Linked DNA regions of Oryzias latipes. The protein of the gene in region 1 purifies or fractionates together with the protein of each later gene. This does not show direct contact. Links are inferred from orthologs where the notes say so. Each region holds a gene or a part of one and is shown in the gene's direction. Other genes may lie near its edges.

Region 1 (7,284 bases):
CCAGATTCTAACCAATCAAGTGTCTCTATCTCATATTGACGGTACTCTGAGGCAGACATGGACTTTGGACTTTGTGTCGGTTCTGTTCGTACAGGGTTCTGCCGTTTTCAACCATTCTGACCCGTTTCTTTCAGAATAAAACCCAGAAGGAGCAGAGTTTTGTATTTATTTATGTCAGTGTAGCGACCAACGTGTTAAAAATGTCTGCAGCAGAAAAAAACATATCAGAGCTCCGACTCCGTCCAGCAGGGAAGCAACACTTTTTAAGATTTGTATCTGAACTATTGTTTTATTTTAGTCACTAATTGTTGAAATATTAAGAGAAAATAGCATTTTTTATGACCAATATTTTTTAACTTTGGACAAGTTCTAAAACAGAAGACACTGTCAAAATGATAATAAAAGTTAAAAATGCCTCTTCTGTTATATACGTTGAGTCTACTATGGTGAGCCATAATTCTTTTGCCTATTATTGCTGTTCATCTGATCCCAAACACGTGTGCAGCATGATCTGTGAGTTCACACCACATGTGTAACTAAAAATCACGTTTGTGAAGCACTTACTGTGCATTTCTGATACATTTATTGTGAATTTCTAAAATGTTTTTGTGAAAAACAGTGTGCACATTTGTGAGAAACACTTATTGTGCATTTGTAAAACATTTAGTGTGCATTTGTGAAACACAATGTGTGTGTTTGTGAAACACAGGGTGTGTATTTCCGAATTTATTTTTCACGTTTGCATAAAATGACATTTGTGAATCGGAGCGTGTGTATTTGTAAAACCGGTTGTGTGCATTTCTGATTATTGAGACTGAAATAACTCCATACCAGTGGCAGTCATATCACGCTAAGTCGCGCTCAAAGTGGGCAGTAAAATCAAAGATAAGACAAAAGCGAGATTTGACACAACGCACGCAAAAACATGTGTTTTGCAAACGCAAAAAACGTTTTCGAAAGCAAAAAATACGTTTTCGAAAGCAAAAAAAAGTTTGAAAGCAAAACAAAATTTTCACCTGCATCATGGAAAGTTTTGTGTGCAACTTAAAAAGTTTTGTGTGCAACATAGAAAGTTTTGTGTGCAACTTGGTGGCAGAAATATCACTCCATATATTTCAAGCAATCACAATGACGTATCAAACTTGGGATAATTAGACATAAAATTAATTATTGCTTGAAAGTGGAAGGAAGCGAATTTATATAATCCCACCCCTGTTCTACCGTAACCATTTTATTATATGATTTCTCATGTAATAAATTAAGAATCCTGAAGTATCAATAAAGCACATGACAAAGATGAATTACTTAAAATATTATGTAAAAAAATAGATAGGAGAGCATAACCCCTCTCCTATCAAAAAAATGTCTCGAGATGGTAATTCACGCTTTAATTTGTTCCCACTTGGACTATTGTAACGCACTCTACACATGCCTTTCACAGCAGAGTGTGTATCAACTCCAGACTCCTAACTGGAACCAGAATGAGAGATCATATCACTCCAGTTTCAGCGTCTCTGCACTGGCTCACAGTCCATTTTAGAATAGATTTTAAGATTTTAATGATTGTTTTTAAAGCCCTCTGCTGTCCGGCCCCTAAGTATCTGGTTGTTCTGCTTGTTCCTTATGTACCTGGACGCAATCTTAGATCTTCAGCAAAAGGCCTTTTAACAATCCCACAATGCAGATTGAAGACCATGGGAGACAGAGCCTTTGCTATAAGAGCCCCAAAACTCTGGAACAGTCTCCCTCAAGGGATCAGGCTCACTGAGTACCTACCAGTTTTAAATCTCTTTTAAAAACCCACCTCTATATGCGTGCGTTTAATGATTTCACTGGTTCTTAAATTTAAACTTATGATTTTATTGATTTTTAACGCTATCACTGTTTCGTGCTGGGTTTTATTTTTACGTCCGGTACTGTTTTTAATCAGGATTCTGTCTTATGTTAATTGTACAGCATATTGTAATCTGGATTTCAAAAAGTGCTATATAAATAAAGTGGATATATTCAATATATAAATATTGGACACTAATGACAGATGGAGGGATGGATGACGAGTGAATGAAAAGAGTGGCTGGCTTTGCCTCTGTTGAACTTTAACAGTTTAGTTTCTCCTCCGTCTTTGATCCAGTTATGACTGTCTGATCCCCTCCCATCCAGCAGGTGGCGGTATATAGCATCTACATTTCAGGTTTAAGTTTCCCTTTAATGCATTGACTGTATAATTCTCAATTACTGTCACTGCTTTAATGATGAAAAGTCTGTCTACTGGTAGAAATTAGACCGATAACAAAAGCATAGTTAATTTTGTTATTGTATTCAGCTGATATTCTGTACTATTGCAGTTATGATAACTCATTGCGAAATTCGTTTTTATTGGTTTAGTTCAGGCAATAATAATAACAAAGTTATTAATTGTATTCGTTAAACTAATAATAGTGGGTTTGCTGATGGTCTTAGGACAAAATCATTCAGCATTTGTTACTTTAATTTTCCTCGCAGGCTTTTTGTCCGCTGCTGCTATCCGTCATACCCGGAAGTGCTCTGTGAGAAGGTCGACATAATAAAGCAACACGACTCCGCCTGCATACATGGGCAGTTGAATGTTTAGTGCTGATTGACGAACATAGTGAAAAATGTCCGGAGGGTCTCAGCTGGAGAACGCTAACCCCGTCATCTTCCAGCGGTCCGGGGAAAGGCAGCTGACGGCGGCCGACGAGGACGAAGACGTCCATGATCCCATCGACGACCGGGAAATATTTGATATCCTTTTTAATTTAAAAGCACCAACTTAATACAATATTCGTTTTAGTTACAATCCCTGGTATTTGTACGAAATCTCAGGATCTCTTTTTCTTATTTTAAGATTACACAATTTGACAAAGTTTGGCATATATATTCCACAAATCTGATAAAAAGGGCGGTTTGGAGCTTGAAAACATTTAAAGTCCCACTCCGATCATCCTCTGGTCTGTTTTGAAACGTCCCCAGTGGGTTTTTAGTAATGATTATACTGTTCTTAAACAAAATCAGAAAACCTGTGTCGTTTTGTGGGACGTAGTTTCTTCAGAGCGGCAGCAGGAGTTCATTAGAAATGTGACTGTTGGCATGGAAAAAGCCCCCCTCCACTCCCCGTCATCCATCTGTTTACATGCTCTCCCCTAGCTTACAACCACTCACAACAAACCTGGTGAGTAATAATGAAGCTCTCTAGTCGAACAGTTTAGATCCAGAGTCCAGCTCAGACGAGGAAAACAAAGACATACAAACAAACCTGTTTTGTCCCTTACGGGGTCACTGCTGGAGCCTATCCCGTGACGGCAAAGGACGCCCTGGACAGGTCGCCAGTCTGTCTCAGGGCCACAATCACACACACTAACATTCTCACCTAGGGACAATTTCGAGTGACCAATAAACCTATGAAGCATGTTTTTAGACGGTGGGAGGAAGCTGGACTTCCTGGAGGAAAACCCAGCCGGGACTTGAGCCTGACCCCCCCCCCCCCCCCCCCCCCCCCCCCCCGCAGACCTGCAGGTGCATCAGAATGGAGCAGAGCAGGAGGACTGTGGCATGGCCCGCGTATTTTCCACATCACAAATACGATCTTTTCCAAACAGTATAGAATTATTCAGAAACGTGCAATTGAGCTTAATTTTCTCTATATATGTCCTCCATCATGAGAAAAAAGCCACAATAATGTGTTAAAAACACCATTTTCGTCAATGTGGGTTTTTTAAACAGTTAAATTCTTCAAATTGTCAGCAAAAACAGTGAGAAACAGTTGTTTTGTTGTAGCGTAAGGAGGGGGGATTCTTTAAATTGTCATACTATAAAAGATGAGGTCTATTATAGCTACAATTAAACTGTGAGAGACAGAATGTAAAAAAAGGCAGGAAATCACACAGTTTGATTTTTAAATAATTTATTTGTTTAATGATCCAGAAAATAGGCATTTAGTCAATAATTAAAGTTTGTTCCAATACTTCATAACTGGTTTTGAATGACAGAAGTCAAACATTTTAGATTTTCATGAGATTTGAACAAACTTTCGCTGCTATTTTGGCCCATTCCTCCATGCAGATCTTCTCGAGAGCTGATGTGATGATGTGGAGCTGTAGCTGGAAAACACAGATTCTCTGTTGGACTGAGGTCCAGAGACGGGCTAGATCCCTCCAAAACCTTCAAAAGCTTTTTATCTGCTGGTTTCCTGGGTGATGTGTTTGGGATCCTCAGAGCCATCCATGTATCATCCTTGGCGTTTTCACTCATAGCAGGAGGTTTTCGCTCACGTTCTCACTTGACTTCATCCTTTCCTTCATATGGATCAGTCCCCCTGTCCTCTTTATGGTTTCACCCTCATGCTTCACAGTGGGTATGGTATGCTTGGGACTCAACCCAGCATTCTTTCACCCTCAAACACAGCGAGTGGCGTTTATTTACTCTACAATCAACTGCTTCTTTATTGTAGATTGGTTCATTCCAGTTTTTCTTCCAAGTCTACAATTGTGTCTCTGGTGTCCTTTGACAGCTCTTTGGTCTTATCCATAATGGAGAGGTCTCAGTCTGACTGTTTAAGGGTGTGGACAGGTATTTTTTTATACAGATCACCAGTTAATACAGGTAACAAGTGGAACACATTTCATTATACAAATACATTGTTTAAAAATCATATTGTGAATTTATTTTTCCCTCTTTGTTTTGTAGATTCTGTCTCTCTCAGTTGATGAACAATACAGTCTAAACTCATCTCTTTAGGTGGCACAACTTGCAGAATCTTTTTTTTTCTTTACTCCAACTATTTCGAGTCTTTTTCTCATGGAGCCATAAGTTTAATTCAGGCCCGGGGGGGGTTGACGGGTCGGGGTCTCCGCTGAGGCCATCGGCGGTTTCCCCGGCCGGTTGGCTGCCTCGGTCCCGTCGAGGCCTGACCAGGGCTCTTCTAGGGCCGGCGTTTGGGGGTGGGGGCCTGGGCTTGCTCCGGGGGGGGGGTGACGCTTTCTGGCTCCTCTCTCTCTCTGTGGGGTGGGTGGTGCTGGGCCTGGGGTGTCGGCGCCTCCGGGGGTGGGGCACCTGGGCTGGGTGGCCCTGGCCCCTTTGCTGGGGGGGGGGCTGGGGGACAGCTGTTTGACCACTGGGGGACAGTCTACCAGCTGTCCCCAACTTACCCCCTTCCTCATATAACCTCATATTAGGGTGAGGGGGTGGGGGGTCTAGCCTGCGATGCGCCTTGGGGGGGGGGCTACTTGGCAGTGGCCCCCCTCCTATGGTTGCCGTACGGAGTGGGCCCCCCCTCTTTCGGTTTTATTTGCACCTTAGACATGTAGGGTCCTTGGTAGGGGGGGTGCTTGGACATCACTGCCAGCAAGCAGCAGATGTCCTCCTGGCACCCTACCCGCCAATTTTAACCGCACCTTAGACATTTAGGGCCCCTTGGTGGGGAGGGTGAGGGGACATCACTGTGAGTAATCAGGAGATGATGATTAGGAGATCCCCTTAGTGCCCTTCTCGCCAATTTTAACTGCACCCCCCTTAGTACACACACCCCTCCCCCTTCAATATATACATTCCAACATAAACACACACACATGCACACACACACCCTTTCAAACACACATACACACATTTTGCAAGGAAGGTGGGACCTGGGTCCATCTGTCCCCTGCCCCTTCCCTGGTGGGGGGTGCGGGCCCCTTGGCGATGGCGGCCGTGTCCCTTGGGTGCTGGCTCCCTGGGCCCGGCGGTGCTCTCTCCGCACGGTGGGGGGGTTCATATTACACCTGAGCCGGGGGTGTTCGTGTCCCTGGGGGGTGGGTCCTGGTCCTTGCCCCTGAGCGCTGGGCCCCGCCAAACTTCCAACATGGCCGAGCCTGGTCGGGCCATATTTATAACACCCCTTGTGGGCCGCCCTTTTTTCCCCGGGGTTCCCCCCTCCTGGGCGGGGGCGGCGGGCCCCTGCCTTGCTCCTCCCTGGACCAACCGTGGGCCGGGCGGATGGCTGCCTGGAGTGCGGAGCGGGTCTGCCTTGGGGGGTCCTGGCTCGTACCTGGGGTAGGGGCGGGGGGATGCCCGGAACTCCTGGGTGGTGGTGGGGTGCTCGTCTGGGGCTGTGGGCGTCCTTCTCCGGTGGGGCCCTGCGTTGGGCGCTCCCGGCGCGGCGGGGGGGGCTGCTCTCCTGGTTGGGCTGGGGCGGCGCTCTCTCTCTTTCCCTCCGTGCCTCCCTGCTCTCTGGCTCTGGGGGCCTTGCGGCGGTCCTGCTGGCCCTGGCCTGGGTGGCGGGCTTGGTCGCCCGGGCGGCGGTTGTTCCCTGCCGGTTCCCGTGTGGCGTTGGGGGGATTTCGGCTGCCGCTGCTGCTGCGGTGGGGGTCTTGGGGTGGGGATGGCTGGGCACTCTCCCTCCTTCTTGTCACGTTCCACCATCCATTTTAGCAGAACATAAACACTCACCTGAGCACAGGTGTTAGCTCACCTTTGGGCTAATAGTTTGCACGATTGAATGACTGAAATATTTCACACTAGTTGGTTTTAAGGCATAAGTATGCGTGTGAACACTATCTGTTTTGTGTACATGTCGACAGGTGGACATTTTTGCAGCTAGCAGGTGTGTTTATAACATTTGACTGTGTGTGGACAGGCCCCGCCCTTTTTGTACTACATTTGAACCTTACCATAATGATTAACAACCAGTAAACTTGTTGCTCTATGCTGCTTCATGGTCTTACCCCCCTTCCCCTCCTATTATCACCCTCCTACCCCCCCCCCCCCCCCTCTCTAACGTCCCTCTCTCTTCTTCACCTCTTTCCTTTTCCGTCCGGTCCAACACCAAAGATTTTCAAACATGATTGAAATTAATAAAGTTTGGCCTCAATTACAAAAGGGGTTTATTCAGACATACCTTTGGTTTATCTGAAGATTAATAACCCCTCTTGTTAAAGTAAAATATGTCCAACACAAGAGGCCCTCAGCTCTCATCTGCCTGCCTAGCTGTTGGACAGGACAAGTAAAAAAATAAATAAATAAAATAATTCAGGCCCGGTTCTGTTTGTTTTAGAAGGGGTTTTGTTAAATCATTCAAAAGCAAAGTTTGGTTTGGGTTTGCAGACGTGTTCCTTTCTGCTTCTGTGTTCCTTAACTATTGTCCACATCTGATCCGATCCATCAGCGACCCGGAGCATCCTCTGTCCCTGGAGGAGCTCAACGTGGTGGAACAGGTCCGAGTCCAGGTATGAGTCTTCATCCGGGGACGTTTTTCCACAGAGGAACGTCTAGAGCTGTGAGGGTGTGGGA
Region 2 (7,364 bases), on another chromosome or scaffold:
TCAGCCTGAGGCCGCTCTGAGGCGCAGACTCTTCCACAGCCTGGGATCGTTTTTAGTCTGACCCGACATGCCTGCAAAGACGCCCATGTACCTGAAAACCACCACCCCTAAGAAGGGGAAGAGAGTGAAGCTCCGGGACGTCCTGTCCGGTGACATGATCAGCCCGCCGCTGGGCGACGTTCGCCACAGCGCCCACGTGGGGCCCGACGGCGAGGGTGACATGTTTGGTGACGTGGGCTTCCTGCGGGGGAAGATGGACATGCTCCCGTCCCTGAGCCGCGGGCCGAACGGGCGCTCGCACAGTGCGGAGCGCCACGCGGGCGATGACCTCCCCGACAAGGAGGAGGCGCACAGCTACGCCTACAACGGCTACCACTACCAGCACTCCTCCAGCGGCCTGCTGAAGACCACCATCTCCATGCCCGTCTTCATCGCCCACGAACAGGCTCCACCCAAACCGCCCCGCCTGCACCTGGACGACTCCTCCCCCACATCGTTGCCTCCCCAGCAGGAATCCTTGTGCGGGAACGGCACGGCGCCGGATCCCTGCCGTGACGTATCGGTGTCGCACGCCATCCGCAGACTCGTCCCGTCCTCTGGGTCCTTCTCGGAGGCCTCCTCCGAGGACTCCATGTCGGAGAGCGGCGGGCCCCCGGACGTCCGGCGGGGCCTCAGTCTGGACTCCGACGCCGGCCTGAGCAACGAGGACCTGCGGAGCGAGCGCAGCGAGTCGCCCAGCGCCGCCTTCCATCCCGCCGGACTCACGGCCTCCAACCACGTCTCCAGATCCAACTCCATCTCCGGGTTAGACCTGGATCTGGGCCCGTCCATCCTGGAGGACGTCCTCAGCATCATGGAGCGCTACAAGAGTCTGGAGAACCGCTGCGAGCTGTGAGGTTCCTCCAGAACATCCCCATCATCAGAACACTCCCTCCCCTCTGTTTGGACTCTCCTCTGCCTGAGAACCTCCTGCTAATCTCCAGACTGATGGCTTTCCTCAGACAATTCTGCTGCAGGTCTCTTCCACGAAAGCCTTCAGAGAAACGATGAAGGTTCTGTTGGGTTTGTTCTTCGGTTCCATCACGACACTCGGATCCTCAAGCAGCAGCAGCACCTTTTTGTTTTGGTTGTTTTTGGAAAAAAAAACCTCAGGACATTTTATTCAGACTGATGATGAAGAAGCTTTACTTGTGAGAAACTTGCTGCTTTTAGACTCAAATACGGAACTTTTTTTTAGAAAAAAAAAGAGAAAATTCTGTGTTTAAATATCCATGTTCCCAACATTGAAATGCTGTAAATATATCTCTGTAAATCTTTGAATTAAAGGATTCTGATGAAAACAACACGGTGTGACGAGTTTCACGCATAACAAAACATTAAGAACAAAAAAAAAATAACAGCAGCATCAGAATCAACAACAGCAGTAAAATGTTCATGCAGTGAAAATCTAAATATAGTCTGTGACTTTATTTTGAAATCCTGCAATAGGACCAGTCAGCCTAATTGAGGTGAGTTTCAGCTATTTTTCCAACTAAAACCAATCGGTGCACATTTTATGGACAAAGGATGTCATAAACATGTGGAAGTTGAGCACAAATCTTCATGACTTTGTTAAATGTTCATTTAAATTCTTGGAAAATAATAGAAAAGGTGTCAGTAGTTGCTCTGTAAATCGCTTTTATTAGATTAACAGAATCACACTTTATTTTATTTACATTTTGGTTTTTGCAACAAAATGGGATTAATATAAGAAATGGACTTTAATGCTGATGAAATACCGCCCTCTGATGGCCGTAGTGTAAAGCTGCAGTTTTGAAATAAAAAGCAGTGAAATAAACACATTAGGGCCCGAGCAGAGGGATTGCAAGGACTCTATGGTTTTTAAAATGTTTATTATTATTCCGAGTAAAGACTCGCCTATTTGAGGCTTAAAAAACTAACCAATTTTTGCACACGTCTCAGAAGTTGCGAAAATGTATTAGAATAAATGAATGTATTACGTGGTAGACCGGCACGGGTGCATAAAAATGGCTCGATAGATTTATCTCAAATGCACACAGACAGGCGCACACAAGACTTGCATAACCAAAATTGTTGAACAGGGGTGTAAAAACAGCACCCATCCCCACATTAGTGTAAAAATATTCATCAGAGTTAAAAACTGATGCCTAACTTTGAATTCTGAATTCAATGGCGTGCTTATTTTTTTCATTTAAGGAAAGATGACAAAAAAAGAGAAACTTCTTTTTCAATTTAAAAACAGAACATTAGAACCAAATAATCTCCTGTAATCATCTTCGTATTTTAGATTTTTAACACAATTTTTCGACTTATATTTGTCGATTAAAATACAAGACTAATATTTGAAAAAGAATGAAATTCTGAAATTAAAAGAAAAAATCAAAACATTGAGGGGTCTGACGTCACATTTTCTAACGCTGGTTGAAGTTTGAGCAGGAGCTGAACATTGTTGCCCTCTGCTGGGGAAAATGCACATTACAGGCAAAGAGACTTTTTTTCGTATGTTTCACAGAGGGGCTTTATTTAGTATGGAAGCATTTCTGTTGCATAATTCAAAAATAAAAGCATTTCTGGTTTTGACTTTTGTTTTTGAATTGTGCAACAGAAATGCTTCCATAAAAGAATGCCTTTTGCATGTGACTCTTCTTAATGTTCCTGCAGTTCTTCTTCCTGCCTGCAGGTGGTAGAGCGTTTAGAAACGCCGGCAACAACAACAACAGTAGAAGAAGAAGAAGTCGTTAACATTTTGGTGTTCTCTGTGTAGTTATCCTAAATCTGTTCACTTTAAAAGGACCAATCTGTCGTAAATCAAAGACGAAAGTTTTTGGAAAGTTTCTCTTTAGAAGATGAAGTGAGTTCTTTTGTTACTGTGACGTAAACAAAAAGTCTAAACCAGCACGTGTTGATGCTAATGCTAATGTTTGGTTTGTGTTGACAGAGCTAGCAAAGAAAAGTTTTTCGTCTGTTAAAGTGTTTGCGTGTGTCTGCATTGGGCTGTTTTATTCAGTCTGTTTGCTGTTTGGTCGCAGGTTGAACATAGAAGGTCTGCTGGTGTATTTTCCGTATGATTACATCTATCCGGAGCAGTACTCCTACATGCTGGAGCTGAAGAGGACCCTGGACGCAAAGGTGGGCTTCTTTCACTCGGGTGTTAGATGGGTTTCTGGGAAATGTAGTGCGGTAATTTCATAAACCAGGAAAACTCACTGGAGACGGTGAAGTGACTGTGTTGTGTCTGCGTTTCAGGGTCATGGAGTACTGGAGATGCCTTCAGGAACAGGGAAGACCATCTCCCTGCTGTCCCTCATTGTGGCCTATCAGAAGGTGAGTCCAGCTCTGCACCTTCTGAGCCTTCATGGCGACAGCTGCTCTAAGCTTTATTTGATTCTCAGGCGTTCCCGCTGGATGTGACCAAGTTAATCTACTGCTCCAGGACAGTTCCTGAGATCGAGAAGGTGAGTCTGACCCCTCCGCAGCCAACGACGAGCAAATCTCCAGGAGCTTTTCAAGTCCTCCGCTCATCTAGGTCGTGGAGGAGCTGAGGAAGCTGATGGAGTTTTACGCTAAAGAAACCGGAGAAGTCAACAACTTCCTGGCTCTGGCGCTGTCTTCCAGGAAAAATCTCTGCATCCATCCTGAGGTAAAAACCCTGAAAGCTGAGGGTTTCCGTGCTTTCTGGAAATGTTGATCAAACAGGAAGCTCCCTCGTCCATCAGGTGAGCTCTCTGCGCTTTGGGAAGGAGGTAGACGGGAAGTGCCACAGCCTGACGGCGTCCTACATCCGGGCTCAGCGCCACAGCAACCCCGACCAGCCTGTCTGCCGCTTCTACGAGGTAGAAAATCGCCTCAGCTTACGGGAAATCGGACCGCATGAACGTCAACGTGGCTGAAGCTCTGCGAATGTTGGGTTTGTGTCTCAGGAGTTTGACGCCGTCGGTCGGCAGGTTCCCCTTCCTGCCGGCATCTACAACCTGGACGACCTGAAGGACTTTGGCAGACGAAAAGGCTGGTGTCCTTATTACCTGGCTCGGTATTCGGTATGTAACCAAGCAGAGGCGCTCAGCACGTGCCTGACCTTTAACCCTTTCAGGGACTGAATGGATCTGGAGAATGTTTTCCTTTGTGTCCATTTAACCAATTCCAATTAAAATCCAGATCAAAGCAGCCCAACTGCGCAGCTGCAGCTGCAGCTGCAGTCAGGTTGCTCAGACACCTGTCAGTCCGTTTCTGTAAAGGACTGGAGGATTTTTCATCAACGACTGTTAATCTGTTCGATCTAAGTCCAAACTTTGACGTGGTCGTCACAGAAACTTGATGTTTGATCCATTCAGCAAACCTCATGCTGCCGCAGAGCTCTGGAGCTTCAGATGGACTTTCTTCTTCGAGATTTTCCCTGAAGAAGTTAAAATTTATGAAGTAGTCGGTGAAGATGAAAAGCTGCCCCTGACCATCACACAACCACCCCCATGCTTGACTTCTCTTCTGATGTCCTTAGTTTGACCACAGCTTCCAAGAAACGTCATGACAAAGAGTCATGACCTCTGACCTGAACCAAGTCATGTGACCTTCTCTCTGCCTTCTGCTTCTATATGGCTGTGTTCTTGAGAAAGTTAAAAACGTCACTATTTACCAAAGAAAATAATCCAAACTCATGTTTAGTTTGTGATTTTTAATGACTGTTGGCATTAACTTCATGTTTTTTTTTTCTATTTAAAATCTCATTTTTCTGTCCTAAGATTCTTCACGCCAACATTGTGGTGTACAGCTACCACTACCTCCTAGACCCAAAGATCGCAGATCTGGTGTCCAAAGAGCTCGCCAAGAAATCGGTGGTCGTGTTCGATGAAGCTCATAACATCGGTAAACCGTCTCTCTTTAGTTTGTTTCATTTTTCTTTTCTTCCCCTTCATCTTTTTTTGTCCGCTTCGTTCCTCAGACAACGTTTGCATCGACTCCATGAGCGTGAACATCACCAGGAGGACTCTGGACCGCTGTCAGAGCAACGTGGAAACACTTCAGCACACCATCCAGAAGTGAGACGCAGCCCAGTCTGCTTTTATCCACACCAGGACGAAAAACATCTGGAGTTTTCTGCGTTAAAACCCCCAAAAATTTGAGCTGTAAAACCCTAATGGCACCAGGAATTGTGGGTAATGGAGTTTCTGTTTGTCATTAACCATAAATCAGACTCATCCATATTAAAAAAAAAAAAAAGCTCAATTATGAAAGGAAATCAAATTCAAATGTTGATTCTGAAAACATCAGAGCTTGGAGTCAAAACTGTTTTTTTTCTTATTTCTATAAACATCTTTGGGTGGAAAAATAAGACGCTTCTGTTTGATCCAAACTGAATTAAAGAGAAAAATCCTGAAGTTTCCTGCCTCTAGGTTCAAGGATTTTTTCTTCATCCTGGAAGTGTCGGTTAATCAGCTGGTCCTCCATATGGAGAAATAAAAGCAAATAGGCGTGTTTTTATTACCATAATCTGAGAATTTCTGTTAAATAATTTCAGGAATCGGTCATGTGTGCTTCATTCCAGCTCCTCTCATCCGATTCGTTCTCATCTGCAGGATCAAGGACACGGATGCCGCCAAGCTGAGGGAGGAGTACCGGCGGCTGGTGGAAGGGCTGAAGGAGGCCAACGTTGCCAGGGAGACGGACGTCTACCTGGCAAATCCGGTTTTACCTGATGAAATCCTGCAAGGTTGGAGCTCGGTCTGGCCGTGGGGTTCTGGTTTCAGAACTCAGACTAACGCTTCTCCCCGCCAGAGGCCGTCCCCGGCTCCATTCGCACCGCCGAGCACTTCCTGGGCTTCCTGCGGCGATTCCTGGAGTACCTGAAGTCCCGCCTGCGGGTCCATCATGTGGTTCAGGAGAGCGCTCCCCAGTTCCTTAAAGACATCTTCGAGAAGGTCTGCATCGACCGCAAACCTCTCAGGTCAGTCGGCTTCAGGTCACACGGGGGAGGGGCCGCAGTTTTCTCAGGAAACACGGATTTTCTGTTTCACCATTTAGAGCGTCGGTATCATTCAAAACCAACTTTTAGGTGTATTTTAATGTTCATTCCTCACAATAAACAGTATGTTGGTCCGTTTACGCATTTCTGAGCATTCCTCTAAAAACCTGCAGCTCCTCCCAACCAACGAAAACGGGCGGGTCTTCGCATTGTGACATCACAAAGTGAGGACCAGCCCCTTCCAGGAAGAGTCTGCAGTGCCAGCCCCGCCCCCAGGCTAACACACACGCCCACTTTCTCCGTGGAGCTAGCGGTGATCGTCTAAACGCTTTCCTTTTTTATGAACATATGCACGTCCATCTTTGCAAAAGTTCTGCCGAGGCGTCTCGGATGACATCATCACATAGGCGGCGCCCACAAAGAGCCGACCTTTTTGTATAAAGTGTTGCATGTCAGCACAAGACTTCTGTTCACCGCACCAGAATCCGCTGGAATTACGATCATTGCGTAAACGGTTGAAGAGTTAAGGTAGTCAAAGAAATGTAAAGATTGGAGCTAACGCTCAGCTGTGAAAAGGTTTAAAAAAAACCTGCATGCGTTTCTGCTGCTGCTGTTTGTGAGAATCGATTTGTGGAAACGTTCTGGAGCTCAATCTGTCTGTCCTGTCCATCTAATATCGGCCGTGTCTCACAGCCGCTGTGGACGTTTTCGTGGTTCATACGTGATGGGAGTTTCTCGTGTTCCTCATTTGTCGACGCGCGCAGACGTCAGTCAAGGATTTCAGCCGATGGATTTTTACCAGAGTTTGGTTTTGAGCTGGATGAGAATTACACAGTTTCTACGTATCTTAAATTATTACATAAATCTTACACAACTGTGCGTGATTTTTGCGAGATTCACAGATTTGTTGCTTTCCGCGACCGTTCCACGTATGTCTAACGGACTTTTCAGTATATATATATATATATATCAGGTATACGGCGCACAAATCTCATTAAAATAGCGTAATTGACCCACAATTCACTAACGAATTGCATCTAAACAGCTCAATAATCACACGGTTCATGCTCTACGTTGATTAGCGTGGTTCATTCCTGATACATCTGTGCAAATGTCACCTAAAGACTCAAACTTCTCTCACTTTTTCCACACATATGACCAATTTTCATCTGTGCAATATGCACAAAATGTATGTAGTTGCTGTGTGACAGACTTTTTAATCCTGTCTATACAGAAATCCAAAGCAGCAGAAGAACCGACTCGTCTCATCCTGTGATGATGTTTTTCTCGCCCTCAGAATCTTGAAGTTATTCTTTCGTGTTTATTTTCCACAAACGGACATCAGACCGTTCTGTGAAAACCTCTAGGGAGCTCCGTTTCTCCTCCT
Region 3 (7,376 bases), on another chromosome or scaffold:
CTAAGTCTGAAGACTTGCTGTTGAAAACTTCTTAATTCTGTCCTTTTCAACGTTGGCTTTATCTTTATTAATGAACTAATAACACAATGTAGTTATATGCTTACACTAGTCTGCCATTGTAGATTTTAAAAAAACAATCTAAAGCCTTGTTTGAGCAAAATAGATTCATTCTGTTTTATACCTGCGCGTCCTAGAAATATCAGAGGCTGCTCTAACATTTTATAAAGTATTCATGAAAAAATAAATTTTAAAATGTTCAGGAAAAATAAAAACAATAATTTCAGCTCAAGTATGTGAAAAAAAGTGTTTGTTTTTCTTCTAAAAACCAAAGTTAAAAATGATTATTTCATAGCATATAAAATGTTCAACATAAATTAAAATGTCAATGTGAACAGAAAGTTGTGTATTTTCCAAACAGGCACTTGATCCATTTGGTAAAACAGATCCACCTGTTGAATCTGTAGATGCTTCAAATAGTACTTTGGGATCATGGTGGATGCTGGACCTCCACTTTTGGAAGGAAGCTATTGAAACACATTTAGAATGAAAGAAAATATAGATTTTTAACATACGTAATGCTTTTTATGAGGACCAGATTTCTTTGTTGCTAATTTGGTTTAATATCTTTTCAGACGTGCCTTGTTTTGACTCTTTGTGCAGCGTTCTGGGTGAGTGATCTTCGTCGCAGCAGTTATAATGCCTTCTTCCTCATAATAATAATTAAAGTTTGTGCGCTTAAGGATTTGATGTCTGCCTTTTATAGAGTTTCTTCCTTTTTCTTTCAGTGGAAGAACTTCGGACTTGCTTTGCTATTTTGCATATTGCAGGTCTTGTCGTTTGCCTGGTGAGTCCAACCTTAAAAAAAATTCCAAAGCTGGAAGATTGTGCTCCCCTGTGACTTCAAATGTGTTTTTCTGTCTTCAGGTACAGTCTGTCATACATTCCATGTGTGAGGTTAGTCTTTCCTGTCATCATGTGTTCATATTAAACATGTATGTTTGCTATCAGCAGATTGAAGTTGACCAGTCTCTGATTTATTTTCCAGGGAGGCGCTCTTGAAGCTGGTTTCTCTCTTCCTAAAGTGACCTTTCCTTTGACGTGAAGGCTTGTGCTGCTTGAAGTGTCTTTGAAAGAAAAGGACCAGTCATTTGTTGAAGTTGACAATCTTCCTTTAGAAGACAAAAGTTGTTCTTTTATACACTGCAGAGTTTGTCCATTATTATTTAATTATTTCCTTTTTGTTAAAATACATTTTAAAAACCCTTACTTTTTTGTGCCATATGTGTAAATACGTGTAATAAATGTACATATTAAAGATTTTATAAATCGCCAGATAATAGCCTTAGTTTGATGACTGAGGGGACTTTCTGCATTCACAAAACCTAACTGTAAAAATTACATTTTTATTTTTTTGTTTCCACATTTTCTGAATATGTATTAACCTTTAGTCAGCCACTCATAAAAAGATTAATTCTGCAGTTTTACAGAGTTATGGGGCTGTGAAATATGCCTCTGCTTTTTATTTTTATTTTCATAGTTTAGTCATAAGTACAAGACGGTAATCCTTTACACAGGTTATTTAATGATTTAAGGTTTATTTATTTTGTTTGTCTCTAAGACACACTTGTATCTTACATGCGAGAAAAAAAGATTAGTTTTGCACGTAAAATGTGAGGCATCAAAATTCAAAACCTTGTCACAGTAAAGCTCATCAGGGATTTACTAAAAACAAATTCTGCTTAGGCGATGTCATAAAAAGGTGTTCCTTATAATAAACACCTCTGGTACTAAAAGAGTGGCTTGCTAAAAAAAACACAACAAAATATGAAACAAGTTAATGCAGCTGTAAAGAGCATTTAATTACAGTGGTGCAGGGTCAGATTCATGGTGAAATAATTGATTATGCTGTTTAACAGTCTGCAGCCTTTTCTCTTCCTGCCAATAACAAAAACAAAAGCGATACTAACTGTACAGCCACAGGATTTTTCCCTTGGGAACTAAAAAGACACTTTAATATTATCCCACGGGGTAATTTAGCCTTTTTTTTAACCTTGATGAGGAAAAAAATAGCATTTATCATGTGGCAGGACAGCAAATTTTACGCTATTAATAAAACAGAACATTTCAAGTGGGATTTGTTAATTTGTTTCGCAAGATGACCTGATGAGACCAGCCTGTGTAAATTATAAAGTGAACACCTTTCAACAAAACAATTTCAGCTTTTCAGTTAATATCCCAGATCAAAATGAGATTTATTAAATATACCTTTTCTGACATACTGACTGGATACACAACAGCACAGGTGTGCACTGCAACATAAATTCAATTTTACTATGATCTTTATTAAAACACAAATGGAAATATATTTATTTAGCCTGTATGTTAGAAAGAAAACGAAATAAACAAAAAAAACAAATTTAGATTTCACATGTACTACTGACAAATTTAAATATGTCATGTGTAAACGTATAATAAAAATAACGAATTTAACGAAATATAAAATATGAATTTAAATACAAAGAACGTTATTTAATGTAGTAAACAAATTTAAATGTCATCATTAATCTCTACACAGCATTACTTTAAAAACAACATCTTGCGTACACGTATACGCTGTTTTTTTCCCCACATTCAAAACGTAAATAATCTACAGCTGTTTGTGTGAGATCTGATACTGCGCAGACTCGTGGTCACGTGACCAACACCAGGCCCGCCCCCGAACCGAGTCTAGGCGCTGCAGATGACGCAGTCCGGTGAAGATGGCTCCCTTTCCAGAAGAGGTGGATGTTTTTACCGGCCCACACTGGCGGATGAAGCAGCTAGTGGGACTGTACTGCGAGAAGGTGCGTTTAGAAAACAAAAAACAACAACAAAAGAAGTGTTTTACGGGGTATTTTGATGGTTTGTGGTCAAATTAGGAGGGAACGGCTGCTAGCTTGTTTGCTAGCTTTGTGTTACGTGACCCGTCGCACGATTGTGTCACGTCTGCCTCGATTCTGTTTATTGTTACGTGGTGCTTACACTTAGATAAGTTCATCCTGGATCCTTACGGGTTTCAAAGTGATTTCCAGCAGATCTTCTATCAGTTGTTTTGTTAGCCGGAATCGCAGCAGGATTTGTTGTGCAACGTGTTGTTACGGGGCGGCCTCACATGCTTTAATTATCGGACACACATATTTTCACCCTTAAGCGTTAGTGCCTGTATTATCTCGCATCCAATGATATATATATATAATCTTCTTTATGTGATGTCGGCTGCGCTTACGTTAGCTGGTGTGGCTACATCAGTGTGTTCCTCCTCCCTTGTGGTAAAATCATGTGAAAAAGTTTGGGCTCCACAGTTTTTATTATTTCATTCGAGTCTGTTGTTTTTTCTTCCACAGCTGTCAAAAACTAACTTCTCCAACAACAATGATTTCCGCTCCTTCCTCAAGTCTCTGTGCGCGACCTTCAAGGAGTTCAAGATGCACGAGCAGATTGAGAATGAGTACATCATTGGCCAGCTGCAACAACGTTGCTGCACAGTTTATAACGTGCACTCTGATGACAAACTGTCAGAGATGCTGTCCCTGTTTGAAAAGGGGCTGCACAATGTCAAGGTAAATATGCCAAAAACCTACATTTCTTTCATGCACTCGATGCAACTAAATAACCCCTTCAGCAAATGCATGCATGCACCCGCTGATCCACAGTGTGTAGTAATCTGTTATTAGAGTAACTGTCAGGCTAACCACTAACAAGATACTAGAGCAACATCAGAGCTGTCATTTTGTTGGGATAATTATAATTTATTGAACAGACACGAACTTTAGCCTTTGAAGAACAGTAGATAAAAAGTTATTGTTTTGGCTCAAGCCTCCAGCAAACTCCAATCTCAGCTGCTTTCTTGGATTCGTGAATTTGTGTAAATTGGAACATCCGCTCTGCCAAACTCTCTAATATCTCTTTATTTAGTTTGGAGTGAGATCCTGCTTCCTGTCTGAAAGTTTCTACAGATATTAATTTGCAGCAGAGACTTATTTGTAAATTGTTGAAATATCTGTTTAAAAAAAAAGCACAAAACATTGAGTGTGGGAAGATTTGACTCGTATTCACAATCTCTGATCATCTAAAAGTCTAGCTCCTGTGGCAAACCATTGGGGAGAATAAATTCCAATTAAACTTTTCTTGTTGCAGTACACCTCAAAGAAAAAATAAAACAATAAAAATAATTGTAAAAATAGTGCGATAATAATAATAAAAGCCCCCAACACACATTCGCAGGATACAGAAACCAGCAGAGATACAGTCCATGAATCTGTATTAAAACATGTGGAAATGTAAAACTTACTTGTAAAACTTAAAAGCTAAGCTGAAAAGATTACTTAAGGTTTATCTTAAAAACCTCCACAGAGGATGCAGCCCTTGCATCAGTAGGCAGGCTGCTTCACTGGTGAGGCCCACAGTGCTGAAAATGTGGGCTTGCCATGGCTTTTTGTTCTGACCCTGGGGATCACCAGCAGACCTGCACCTGAGGGCTCTAGGATGGTTATAAACTAACAGTTCAAATTCTATTAGAGACCCAGCCCGATTATCCTTGGTCTATTTTGAAAGTGTTCCCGGTGGTCTTTTAACTATAGTTATGCAGGTTTTTTCTTTACAATATTGGAGCTGACCGGCTGTACAGTCGTGAGCCGGAAGCCAGCTCAGACGAGGAAAACAAAGAAGTTAAATTTTCCTTGCGCAACTTTTAGAATCATGCAAAATACCTAAAGCGTGGTAAACGTCTGCTTATGACTGTCCAAGAGCAGCTGATCTAAGATCTGGGATTTCTGTCTGTTCTGTGGTTTTAGAATGAATGTGAGCAGCTTAACTATGCTCGTCAGCTGAAGGAGAGACTTGAGGCGTTCACGCAGGACTTCCTGCCCCACATGAAGGAAGAGGAGGAGGTACAAGATAATCATGCGGGATAAGCAATAATCAAAAATGTCACCTGTTCATCCTTTTCAGCGTCAAGCTGTGTTTTAACGGAAATGTGTTGCAGGTGTTTCAGCCGATGCTCATGGAGTACTTCACCTACGAGGAGCTGAAAGACATCAAGAAAAAGGTGATAGCCCAGCACCACAGCCAACAGCACGGGGACTGTGCTGCCGGTGTGCTGAAGGGATTCCGTCTGTGGTCGCAGGCTGAGGAGCTGCAGAAAGCCTTTAAATATTCGGATCATGAGAAGACAGACTACGGTGAGTGTTTGTCCAAATGACTAAACTTGTTACAGGTTTCCAGTTAAGTGCATGACAAAGATGAGTCAAGCGTCTGTTGAAGGCCACACACTTCTTTTTTTGTCTTATCTTCAGTCATGTTTTAAAAAGGCTTTTTATGTAATCCAGCAGAGAAACAGTTTTTTTTTTAAATGAACAGCAACAGATAGATATTATGACCCGTTACCAAAATATGAGACTAGTTAAGGCTTTATTTGGGGTTAGTTGTGTTCAGCCCTCTAATGAACTGATAAACTGTCCAGAGTGGAGCCCAACCATAGCTGGACAGGCTCCAGCATCCCTGTGACCTATGACAGGATTAAGCAGACATAGAAAATGAATGAATGGATGGAGTTGTGTTCGTCTGTGATAGGAAACACAATTAGCAGGATACTTGAAGCCTTTTTTTTTTTGCTGTAAAATACCAACAATATTTGTACAGAACATGGATTATTTTGAGATAATTTTATCATTGTGGTATTTAAAACATTCACATGCTCTTCTTTTTTTCCCCCCTCCATCCTCAGACCTGGAGAAGAAGCAGAATATGTCAACCAACATCTCACACCTTCCTGCAGAAATAATGCTGAGGTTGTTCCATTATTTGGGCCCTAAGGATCTGTGTCGCTGCAGTCAGGTGTGCAGTTTGTGGTGGCAGCTGGCCAAGACCGGCTCTTTGTGGAGGCACCTTTACCCTGTTCGCTGGGCCCGAGGTAAACCTCAATTCATGGTTTTCATCTTTTCTTTTTGAACCAAGTAGTTGTTTTTCCTGGTAAAGATGATCTTGTAGATGCTTAGGCATCCTTGTTTCTAAAGTTTTTTTTAAAACACAGGCGATCATTATAATGGCCCTCCTGGGGATCTGGATCAGGAGCCAGATGAAGAGTGGGTGAGGAGTCGAGAGAATGAGGGTCGAGCTTATCAGAAGTGGGACGAGGACGCTGATATTGACGAGTCAGGTGAGGGCCAATAATCACTTCAAACATGCATGAGCTGAACGTTACCAGGGTCATGTGTGTGTGCTGTGAATAGTTTCATCATGACTATTGTTTTTTCCCCGGGTTTGAGTGGGGAAAAAAAAGTTCCAATGTTGAAGGTGGATGGACCTGCAGTGTGTGGTAGTTTATTGTGTTCATGAGGTAGTGACTAGATAGTGTTCTTCTCGTCAGATGTTTCGGGTCACACAGAGGGCTCGCTTGCTATCAATATGGTGCAGAGAGAGAAGAAGCTCCTGAATGGGATCATCCAGAACCTCCTCCCTGCTGTGGGTCCGTCAGTCAAATCCATTATTCTGGCCTACAGTTCAACAGTCTCAAGCAAAATGGTATGCGGCGCTTGTCCAGTCAGAGTTGCATTGCTGCCATGAGATTTGATGGATGTTAAGCTGAGCCTGAAAGCTTAAATGTCTTTTCCAGGTCCGTCAGATGGTCAGCCTCTGCCCCAACATCACTCATCTGGATCTGACTCAAACTGATGTGACAGACTCTGTGTTTGACAGGTACAAAATACTTCCTTTAAATTAGAATCTGGTTCTGTGGATTGAATGGCGACAGAATTGACTTCATTTGGTTGGAGCTGGAAATAAATCATTTTCTACGGATGACATCACAGTCAGTCGGACCACTTCTTCAGGGGTCATCATTACATCGATTGCGATAAAGGACATGTGGGTAGATCACGCGCCATCATAGATAAAAAAATCCCCCAAATTTAAATGTATATAATTAAATTAGCGAATCAAAATCCTCTCCAAGAAGTATATGACTTGATTGACATGCAGAAAGGCCAATAGAACACCCTCTGATACATGCATCACTCCACACGTGTGTTTAAATACACTGAGAACATTGTTTCTGCCCCACGGCGCGTCAAGTCCCCGGCAGAGGACCACTCTCGCCCACAGGAGTGTTAGTTGAGGCCCGGGTCGCCCCGCGTGCCTCTTCGATGGCGAGCGAGACCGTCTGACTAGGCTGTCCTGCCCCTGCAGCTGCTGCCGGCTCCGTGGTTCCCGTATTATTATGTATTACTACACAAATAATATTACACACAACAAAGCTATCTCTTCATGAAGATGTAGTTTTTGAATTTTCAACGATATGTACTAATAGTTCACAATACTATGTCATTAGATAGATATTA
Region 4 (7,245 bases), on another chromosome or scaffold:
CAGAAACCAACAAAAGCAGCAACCTGTCTTACACCTCCCCACACCACGTGGCATTGCACACGTGTCCTGGTTAATAATTGGATTTGGCACAGCAGTATGATCACTCAAAATAAAATATGAAAAGCAGGAAAAACCTTTTTTAGAAGAAAAATCTCTGTAGATGAAGTTATGGCTGTTTTAGTCTAAAAACCATCATCTGTAATGTGTTCCTGCCATGTGCTATGGGGAAGAATTGTTTTGAACTGGGTACACCAATGGTCTGTGATTGAAGGCGTATACTGTTTTTATTGCTTATTAGGCTTGTTTGTGTGCAAATGTAGAGAAAAAAATTAGAAAGTAAAAAAAAATTTTTTTTTAAAGTATTTGCTACCCATCTATTATGACTGCAGGTAATAAACGGTTATGTGTGGAGAGCAGAGGTTTCTGTCTGCAAAAAGGATCCCACAATAGAGCGTTATAGTATTGTGCTCTAAACTCTTTTTTTTTATTTTTAATGAAGCATCGATAGTCGACGCTCTTTAACCACAGAGATTGCCATTTCTAGTCAATTTGTCCTAAAAGAACCTTCAAAACTTTTGTGCAATGATGGAGAAATTTTGCTTAGTTTACACTAGAAAAAGCCCCCTCCCCCCTGATGATGATGAGGATGTATGAACATCTCTTACTTCTGTCATTCAGGACTAAAATGTTGAGGCCTGTTGCCATGGTGACACTTTCTGTAACGTGATGATGAAGTTGGGTGAAAGGCTGTCCTGTTTAATATCTGTCCCTGTTTTTGTTTTGTGTTTTGGTTGAAAGTAAATGCATTGTAGAATGTTAAGCTAGCTTTATGGTCAGCTAAAAACGAAGGATCGCCGCTAAAAGAGACTCAATTTAAACACGGGGAATCATTTCATGGTGGTTCCCTAGAGAAACACGTCAGACAGGTAATCTTTCTGCTGCTAGTGTTGACTTTTACCCAATTGCTTTTGGCTTGAGCTGTTGTGTGTGTGAGTGTGTGTGTGTGTGCAGGGTAATTAAGTTATAACAGCTCCAGCTTGCAGAAGAGTTGGCTAGCCTGCAAGTTGATGTACAGTTTTCTATTTCTCTTGTTTTCCAACGCACATGGTACTATAGGCTACCTCTCACTAAATGTTGAGCAGCAGTTAGTGTGTACAGGGCAATGCCATTATGAGAGACGCTCTCAAGCCCCCACTTTTTCATAAATTCTGCTTCCTGTGAGTTTAGAATTTACACTCAGGTGTAAGAAACCACATGTAAGCCCCTTGTCGCACTGTGATCTATATATTTGTTCTTTTCGGAAGGATGGCAAAAAATATAATGTAATTCCTAAGAAATTTCATCTTATTTGTGTGCAAAGGTATTTTTCTTTTTCTTTTTTACTCTAGAAATGTTCTTACAAACACCCTAAAACTTATTATTTTTAAAGAAAAATCTAATACTGTCATCAAAAGCATCCCAACTTCTCGATGGAGCGAAAACTAGTCAAACTAATTTGAATGCACAAAAGTGTCCTCTTCTATGGACATTTTATTTTTTTATTTTTTTCCACAAACCGTGTGTGTTTTTAGGTTTAAGATGCATCCCCCCCCCCCCCCCCCACACACACACACATCTGGTTCTTGGACTTTAGTGCCACGCTTTACCACTTGTGTAGATAGAACTTTCTGCCATTTATTTCAAGCTACCAGAATCTTATTGAAATATTTTTGTGGTGGACATGGGAATTTTTGGAGCGATTGTAGTTTTTTCACAGATTTCCAATGGAATGTTAAAGATTTTAATACACCACTAAAGCTAGGGTTTTATATCATGAGTGAGTTGGTGTTTCTGCTTGTTTTTCCTATGGTATGACTGTTGCCAGGAGCTTTGTGGCAGTGAAAGAAGACTCCCAGGCTTTTGTTGTGGAGTTTGCATGCATTTCCTGGGTACTCTGGCTTCTTCTTGCAGTCCACAAGCGTGTGTATGATTAGGTTGATTGTGTAGTCTTGAGTTGTGAGTGCGTGCGGTAGTTGGTCTCTGTGTGGCCTTGTGATGGATTTTGGTGTCGGTGACAGCTGGTCTGCTGTGCTGCTGAACATTTAGGTGGCTATAGAATAAAAAGTTTATATTTGGGTCTTTAGAACTTGCATAAACTTAGTATTAGACTAAATCTAATAAAGTGTAATTCAAACTGAAGTGGCATTGATGGACACCAAGAAAAAAAAAGGAAAACAAAAACTCGTGTTAAACTCTACTATTCCATAGGAAATCAACTTTTCAGTAACATTTCAATATTGCTGCCTTGTTCAACCAAATTCAGAAACTTTACAGTCACGATGCATGAATGAAAAAGCTGAAATTTCAAGTAATTGTCGATTAGTTACAATTTTGATATCAGTTAAATGAGAAATTTAAGTTTTGTATGTGTGCGATTGAAAAGATTTGTTTTTGTACTATGGGTATTTGTTATTAAAAAAAATGAATAAAGGAAATATAAACTACAAATTGTTTTGTTTATTTCTTGTAGCAGTATTAATTTGAAGTCATTAAATCGCGCTCAGCATTTGAACGCTAAATTTTTGTCCCTCCCGTCTTTCCGTCTATTTCCGAGAATGGCGCAGGAGAAGTTGTGACAACTGTCCTGTGGTGTAAACAACAGCAGTTTATCAATTGGGCGCATATTTGACCCGAAGATTGGATTCATTGGACAATATAACCACATTACGATTCAGGTAATTTACACAAATAGTAGATACAACTCTTGTGTTTTACAACTGGTAAGGCACGTGGGCAAGCTGGCTAATGCTAACGGTTGTCCTATAAAATTGTACTACAGTTATCCGTGTTTTGACACAGGAATTGCATTCTAAGTTACTCAAGCAAGGGTAGTGCCGTTACTGACTTGCACAAATATCACATAAGAAGGTTGGAATAGTTTTTTTTAATTTTTTTTTTAGAGCCAAATCGTGTTTACCTGTTGTCTTTTTCAGTTTGGCTTATAGTAAGTTAATTTAGACTACGTTGACGGGATGACTAAAGAATTGTTTTGTGTTTCTTGTGTATTCTAAATATTTGTTATATGTTTTATATTTGGAATCGGTTACTTTAAGCAACCAAAACAAAAATAGAATTAAGAAGATAGACCACAGAAATGTATGTGTATATATCTTCACATAGGCATATCTAACTTAGGATGGTTGTTCATGAACTGATTAGAAAATGTATATTCATACTTGTACATGTAGATGTAAATCATTCAAATATAATTACTCTTAATCATAAATGCACGTGCTAATTTCAGATAAAATTCTTTGAATGATTGCTTTTAACAGAGCTAAGTTATCTCTGTGGATTCTGAGTCGTTCTTTATAGAGTCGAACTGTGATCTTTCAGATCATCATGCCTTCCGCCTGCGACCCCGTGATTGAAGATATTGAGGACATGGTGTCTTCCACGGACCCCACCCCCCATGAAAGACAGTCTGCGAGAAAGAACATCATACCAAGGCCCAAGAAGAAGAAAGAGCTTCTAAACGACGAAGAGCTCCAAGCTGACAGGTACGCCAGAATATGCTTCATCTGACTTCATCTGATCTGAGTTTGAAACTGACAGTTTCTAAAGATTGTACATGTAGACTGAAGGACTTCAAGTATTCATTAAAAATAGTGCGTACGTTTATGTTAAACATGGGCCCTGTGGTGTTTGTCTCTAGACTTTAGTGTTCGTGAACGGCCATGTCTGAAATGGAGGTATGTTTCAGGGTATGTCAAGTTGCCATGGCAACTCATGCTCTGAACATAACCTGGTCTGGAGCAGGTTTAGTTGAAGGTTAGTTGGTTTTCAGAGAGGTGAAGAAGCTTGGCGTGTCCATTTGAAGATGATTTAGTGGATGATGATGAAGAGTCGGTCAACACACTCTTAAAATGCATTTTAGACATTGAGTCATGGATGGCAGAGAACTTCCTACAGCTAAACCAGGACAAAACAGAGGTTTTAGTGATCGGTTCTAAGGACAAGAGAGAGATAGTTTTATCTAAACTAAAGAATTACAAAACTTCTCAGTGTGTGAGAAACCTGGGTGTCATTTTTGCCTCTGCGATGAATTTTATCCCACAAATTAAAAATATCACAAAAACAGGATTTTATCATCTAAAAAATATAGCCAGAGTCCGCCCATTTCTCTCTCTTGCCAGCACAGAGGTGCTAATGCATGCTTTTATTACCAGCAGATTAGATTATTGTAATGCTCTGCTCTCTGGTCTTCCCAGAACAAGAATAGCAAATCTTCAACTGCTGCCAAATTCAGCAGCACGCGTTCTGACGAGGACCGGGGGGCGGGGACACATTGCACCGGTTTTAAGATCGCTGCATTGGCTCCCTGTGCAATTCAGAATTGATTTTAAAGTTCTTTTATTGGTTTACAAATGTTTTTATGGTCTCGGGCCTTCATATTTATCTGACATGATTTTAAAGTATGAGCCCTCGCGGACCCTGAGGTCCTCTGATACAGGCCTTTTGGTTATCCCAAAAGTTAGAACAAAAACGTACGGCGAGGCCTCATTCAGTTTTTACGGACCTCGCCTGTGGAACAGCCTCCCAGAGAGCCTCAGGGCTGCAGAGACAGTTCATGTTTTTAAAGGAAGGCTTAAGACCTACCTTTTTAATTTAGCTTTTAGTTAAATTTTAGGATTTATTTATTTATTTTTTATTTATTTTTTTCTTTTAACTAGTTTTATATGTGTATGTAAATACATTTATTTATGTATTCTATTAATTTTTAAGTTGCTCTTACTATTTCATATGCCTATTAAGGTTTATGTAATTATTTGTTTTTTGTCCATGTTTTATATATACTTAAATTTTATTCCTTTTACATTTTATTACACTCCAGTGTTTCCCTCTGAGGGATCCTCCACATCGGTGACTGACCCTTCTCAGTGAACTGCTGCAGTGGGATCTCCTGGGTCTGACTCTTTTGATCGGATCTGGGGGGTTCTGTGGTAGTGTTCTCCGTGAACTTGGGTTGGGGGGTCGCTGATGTGGACATGTCCCCAAAATATCGTTTCCCCACTTCAGGACAAAGCTTGGTCTCTACATTCTATCATTTTATCACTTTTTTATTTATTTATTTATTTTTTGATGTGTGTGGGTGTGTGTGTGTGTGTGTTTTTGCGGGGTGGGGGTTGTCGCACGGTTTGTCTTGTCATCTTGTTTTCAAATTTTATTGTTTTTTATGCACAGCACTTTGAGTGACATATGTTGTTGAAAAAGTGCTATATAAATAAAGGTTGATTTGATTTGATTTGATTTGATGAAGAAGCTCAGATAATACTTTTTCCACTGTGAGAGGGTGATAAGACCACATATGGATGTTGGAAAAATAAACTATGTTGATCTAACTTAATTATTTGCTTCAGTTAAGATAATTAAAAATCATTTTTTTGTTAAGTCAGTTTAAAAATAACAATTTGTTTTCAGACAGTTATTTTACTTTCATTCAAATTAATTCAATTAAGTAGGTGTAACTTTGGTGCTGCTGTTAGATCGGCACCGCAAGGGATTGTGGGATACCATTCCCTTTGCCTCTCTGGACGGATTTGGGTTTAAGTGTGGGTTTTTGACCAAATGTGTTTAGTTGTTTAGCTGTTTTACTGTGTTTTGCCGAGTTACTTTGTCCCACTTTGCTCAAGTCTCTGCACCATGAGTAAGAGGGAGGGAGAGGATGATGAGTTTATATAGCACCCCTACAGCCAAATGATGTAATGACAATGTCGATGAATTCTTAAATGGATTTACTCTCCAAATGTGTATCGTTCTGTTCTTTTTATTGTTATAAAAATGAGCATATCTGCCGGCTCAAACTTAGACATTTGAGAGTTCAAGAATTATTATTCCTTAAGGTGGAAACAATAATAATTGAATTGGAGTAATATGACATTTAGTTAAATAAATCTGTAAATTTGAGTTGAATAAACACTAATTAAGTTTTATAGACCTAAGAAAGTAGGTTGAATAAATTTAACTCAATTACTTGTTACCAATAGTACCAAGTAATTCATTTAAGTTGGCAAAATTGGATACGTTTTAAATATATGCTTCACAAGGAAAATGGAAATAAGATCAGAAACTCGTGCGTTTACTTTGTCTGTTCTTCTACTACAAGCAAAACTCTTTCTTCTTCGGATGCAGCCGTTTTACTTTTTTGATGGACGTATAATCTTCATAGCCGTCATTAATCTCAGACTCAGTCTCACTGAAATATAGCGCTCTCTTTTTTTCACCACGCGTTTCCATGGTGACTCCAGAAATTGGCGTTCCATTGAGAAGGTTTTTATGTACTTGACGTGCACCCGCATTAACCCAGGGTTACCAAGTCGAGCGTAATTACGCCAACTCATATCTGGTCTTTTGGAACTGACACACCCAGAGTAAGCAAGTTCAGGCGGATTTCAGCCAGAGTTCAGGGTTAAAGTCAGGGTAGTTCAAACATGCTTCCTGGAATACCCCCCAGGTATCTTAGCTGATGTGGACGTGCCTCCCACACCACAAAGATCCTCTATAGCGACAGGCATCACACTCATATCATTTAGTCATGCTCAAACTCAGGCGGAAATGGTGCTAATGCTGTCGTCTGGAATCAACTTTTAAATTAGGCATTCCCTTGAACATTCAGTGATCTCCAATGAAAAACTATTTGTCTTCTTGTGAGACTAAAGTCGGTATTTCTAGAAAACGTGCTTCTAAAAATATTGACTTGGGCATTCTTGTCGTTCATGTATGGATTTATGAATTGTTTTCCAGCTGTAATTTTTTTAATAACACATATCTTATTATTTTATTTTCCTAGTATTAATGGACTCATTTTACAGATTTAATTGATCACCAGTAGGCCTTTCAGTAATTTCAGAACATCTACGAAAATCAGTTCTACAAAAGTGAGTGATTTATCAAATTGAATGCAGTTTGTCTGTATGACTTTCCCATCACTAAGCCTCTGGAAAGGACACTGCAGCGGTGCAGCTTCTCATCAGCTTTCAGTGTTTGTTGGGTTTAAGTTTTTGTTAAAAGCCAGAAAGAAATCTTTTAGATTCTCAAGCCCTTTTCCTATCGACCGCTCTGCAACGATGCAGTAAAGAGAAAACTGAATTCGAGAGGACATTAGTGTTTAAGGAGAGCAAAGATTAGATGAAGATCCCTGTTTGCCTCTGTTTCAGTGTAATTCCTGGCATGCAGAAAATCTGGATGAAAACTTGGGGCTGCAGT

Evidence for each region. Proteins that work in one complex are often made in the same cells at the same time.
Region 2: the proteins of fam96b (region 1) and ercc2 purify together in Homo sapiens (affinity purification with western blotting; 3 studies listed by BioGRID and IntAct, with this or other methods). This does not show direct contact. The link is inferred for Oryzias latipes from reciprocal best matches to the Homo sapiens genes CIAO2B and ERCC2.
Region 3: the proteins of fam96b (region 1) and fbxl5 purify together in Homo sapiens (affinity purification with mass spectrometry; 3 studies listed by BioGRID and IntAct, counting the BioPlex papers as one, with this or other methods). This does not show direct contact. The link is inferred for Oryzias latipes from reciprocal best matches to the Homo sapiens genes CIAO2B and FBXL5.
Region 4: the proteins of fam96b (region 1) and cdkal1 purify together in Homo sapiens (affinity purification with mass spectrometry; 3 studies listed by BioGRID and IntAct, with this or other methods). This does not show direct contact. The link is inferred for Oryzias latipes from reciprocal best matches to the Homo sapiens genes CIAO2B and CDKAL1.

Annotation. Positions count from the first base shown.
Region 1 is NC_019873.2:4,895,403-4,902,686, forward strand, and holds the start of fam96b (mitotic spindle-associated MMXD complex subunit MIP18), read left to right. Parts: upstream 1-2,519; 5' UTR 2,520-2,636; coding exon 2,637-2,763; intron 2,764-7,140; coding exon 7,141-7,220; intron 7,221-7,284.
Region 2 is NC_019871.2:4,133,175-4,140,538, forward strand, and holds the start of ercc2 (general transcription and DNA repair factor IIH helicase subunit XPD), read left to right. Parts: upstream 1-2,696; 5' UTR 2,697-2,867; coding exon 2,868-2,872; intron 2,873-3,050; coding exon 3,051-3,150; intron 3,151-3,267; coding exon 3,268-3,345; intron 3,346-3,413; coding exon 3,414-3,476; intron 3,477-3,547; coding exon 3,548-3,661; intron 3,662-3,737; coding exon 3,738-3,854; intron 3,855-3,941; coding exon 3,942-4,058; intron 4,059-4,757; coding exon 4,758-4,881; intron 4,882-4,957; coding exon 4,958-5,054; intron 5,055-5,591; coding exon 5,592-5,725; intron 5,726-5,790; coding exon 5,791-5,959; intron 5,960-7,364. Other genes in the region: cdc42 effector protein 2, read left to right, coding at 68-895. UniProt on the Homo sapiens protein: ATP-dependent 5'-3' DNA helicase. Component of the general transcription and DNA repair factor IIH (TFIIH) core complex, not absolutely essential for minimal transcription in vitro.
Region 3 is NC_019862.2:28,338,433-28,345,808, forward strand, and holds the start of fbxl5 (F-box/LRR-repeat protein 5), read left to right. Parts: upstream 1-2,708; 5' UTR 2,709-2,759; coding exon 2,760-2,843; intron 2,844-3,383; coding exon 3,384-3,599; intron 3,600-4,832; coding exon 4,833-4,928; intron 4,929-5,023; coding exon 5,024-5,219; intron 5,220-5,764; coding exon 5,765-5,950; intron 5,951-6,070; coding exon 6,071-6,196; intron 6,197-6,406; coding exon 6,407-6,561; intron 6,562-6,652; coding exon 6,653-6,735; intron 6,736-7,376. Other genes in the region: vesicle transport protein SFT2B-like, read left to right, coding at 633-668, 786-844, 925-954, 1,046-1,085.
Region 4 is NC_019874.2:11,054,000-11,061,244, forward strand, and holds the start of cdkal1 (threonylcarbamoyladenosine tRNA methylthiotransferase), read left to right. Parts: upstream 1-2,577; 5' UTR 2,578-2,714; intron 2,715-2,883; exon of another isoform or gene 2,884-2,907; intron 2,908-3,375; 5' UTR 3,376-3,539; intron 3,540-7,196; 5' UTR 7,197-7,245. UniProt on the Homo sapiens protein: Catalyzes the methylthiolation of N6-threonylcarbamoyladenosine (t(6)A), leading to the formation of 2-methylthio-N6-threonylcarbamoyladenosine (ms(2)t(6)A) at position 37 in tRNAs that read codons beginning with adenine.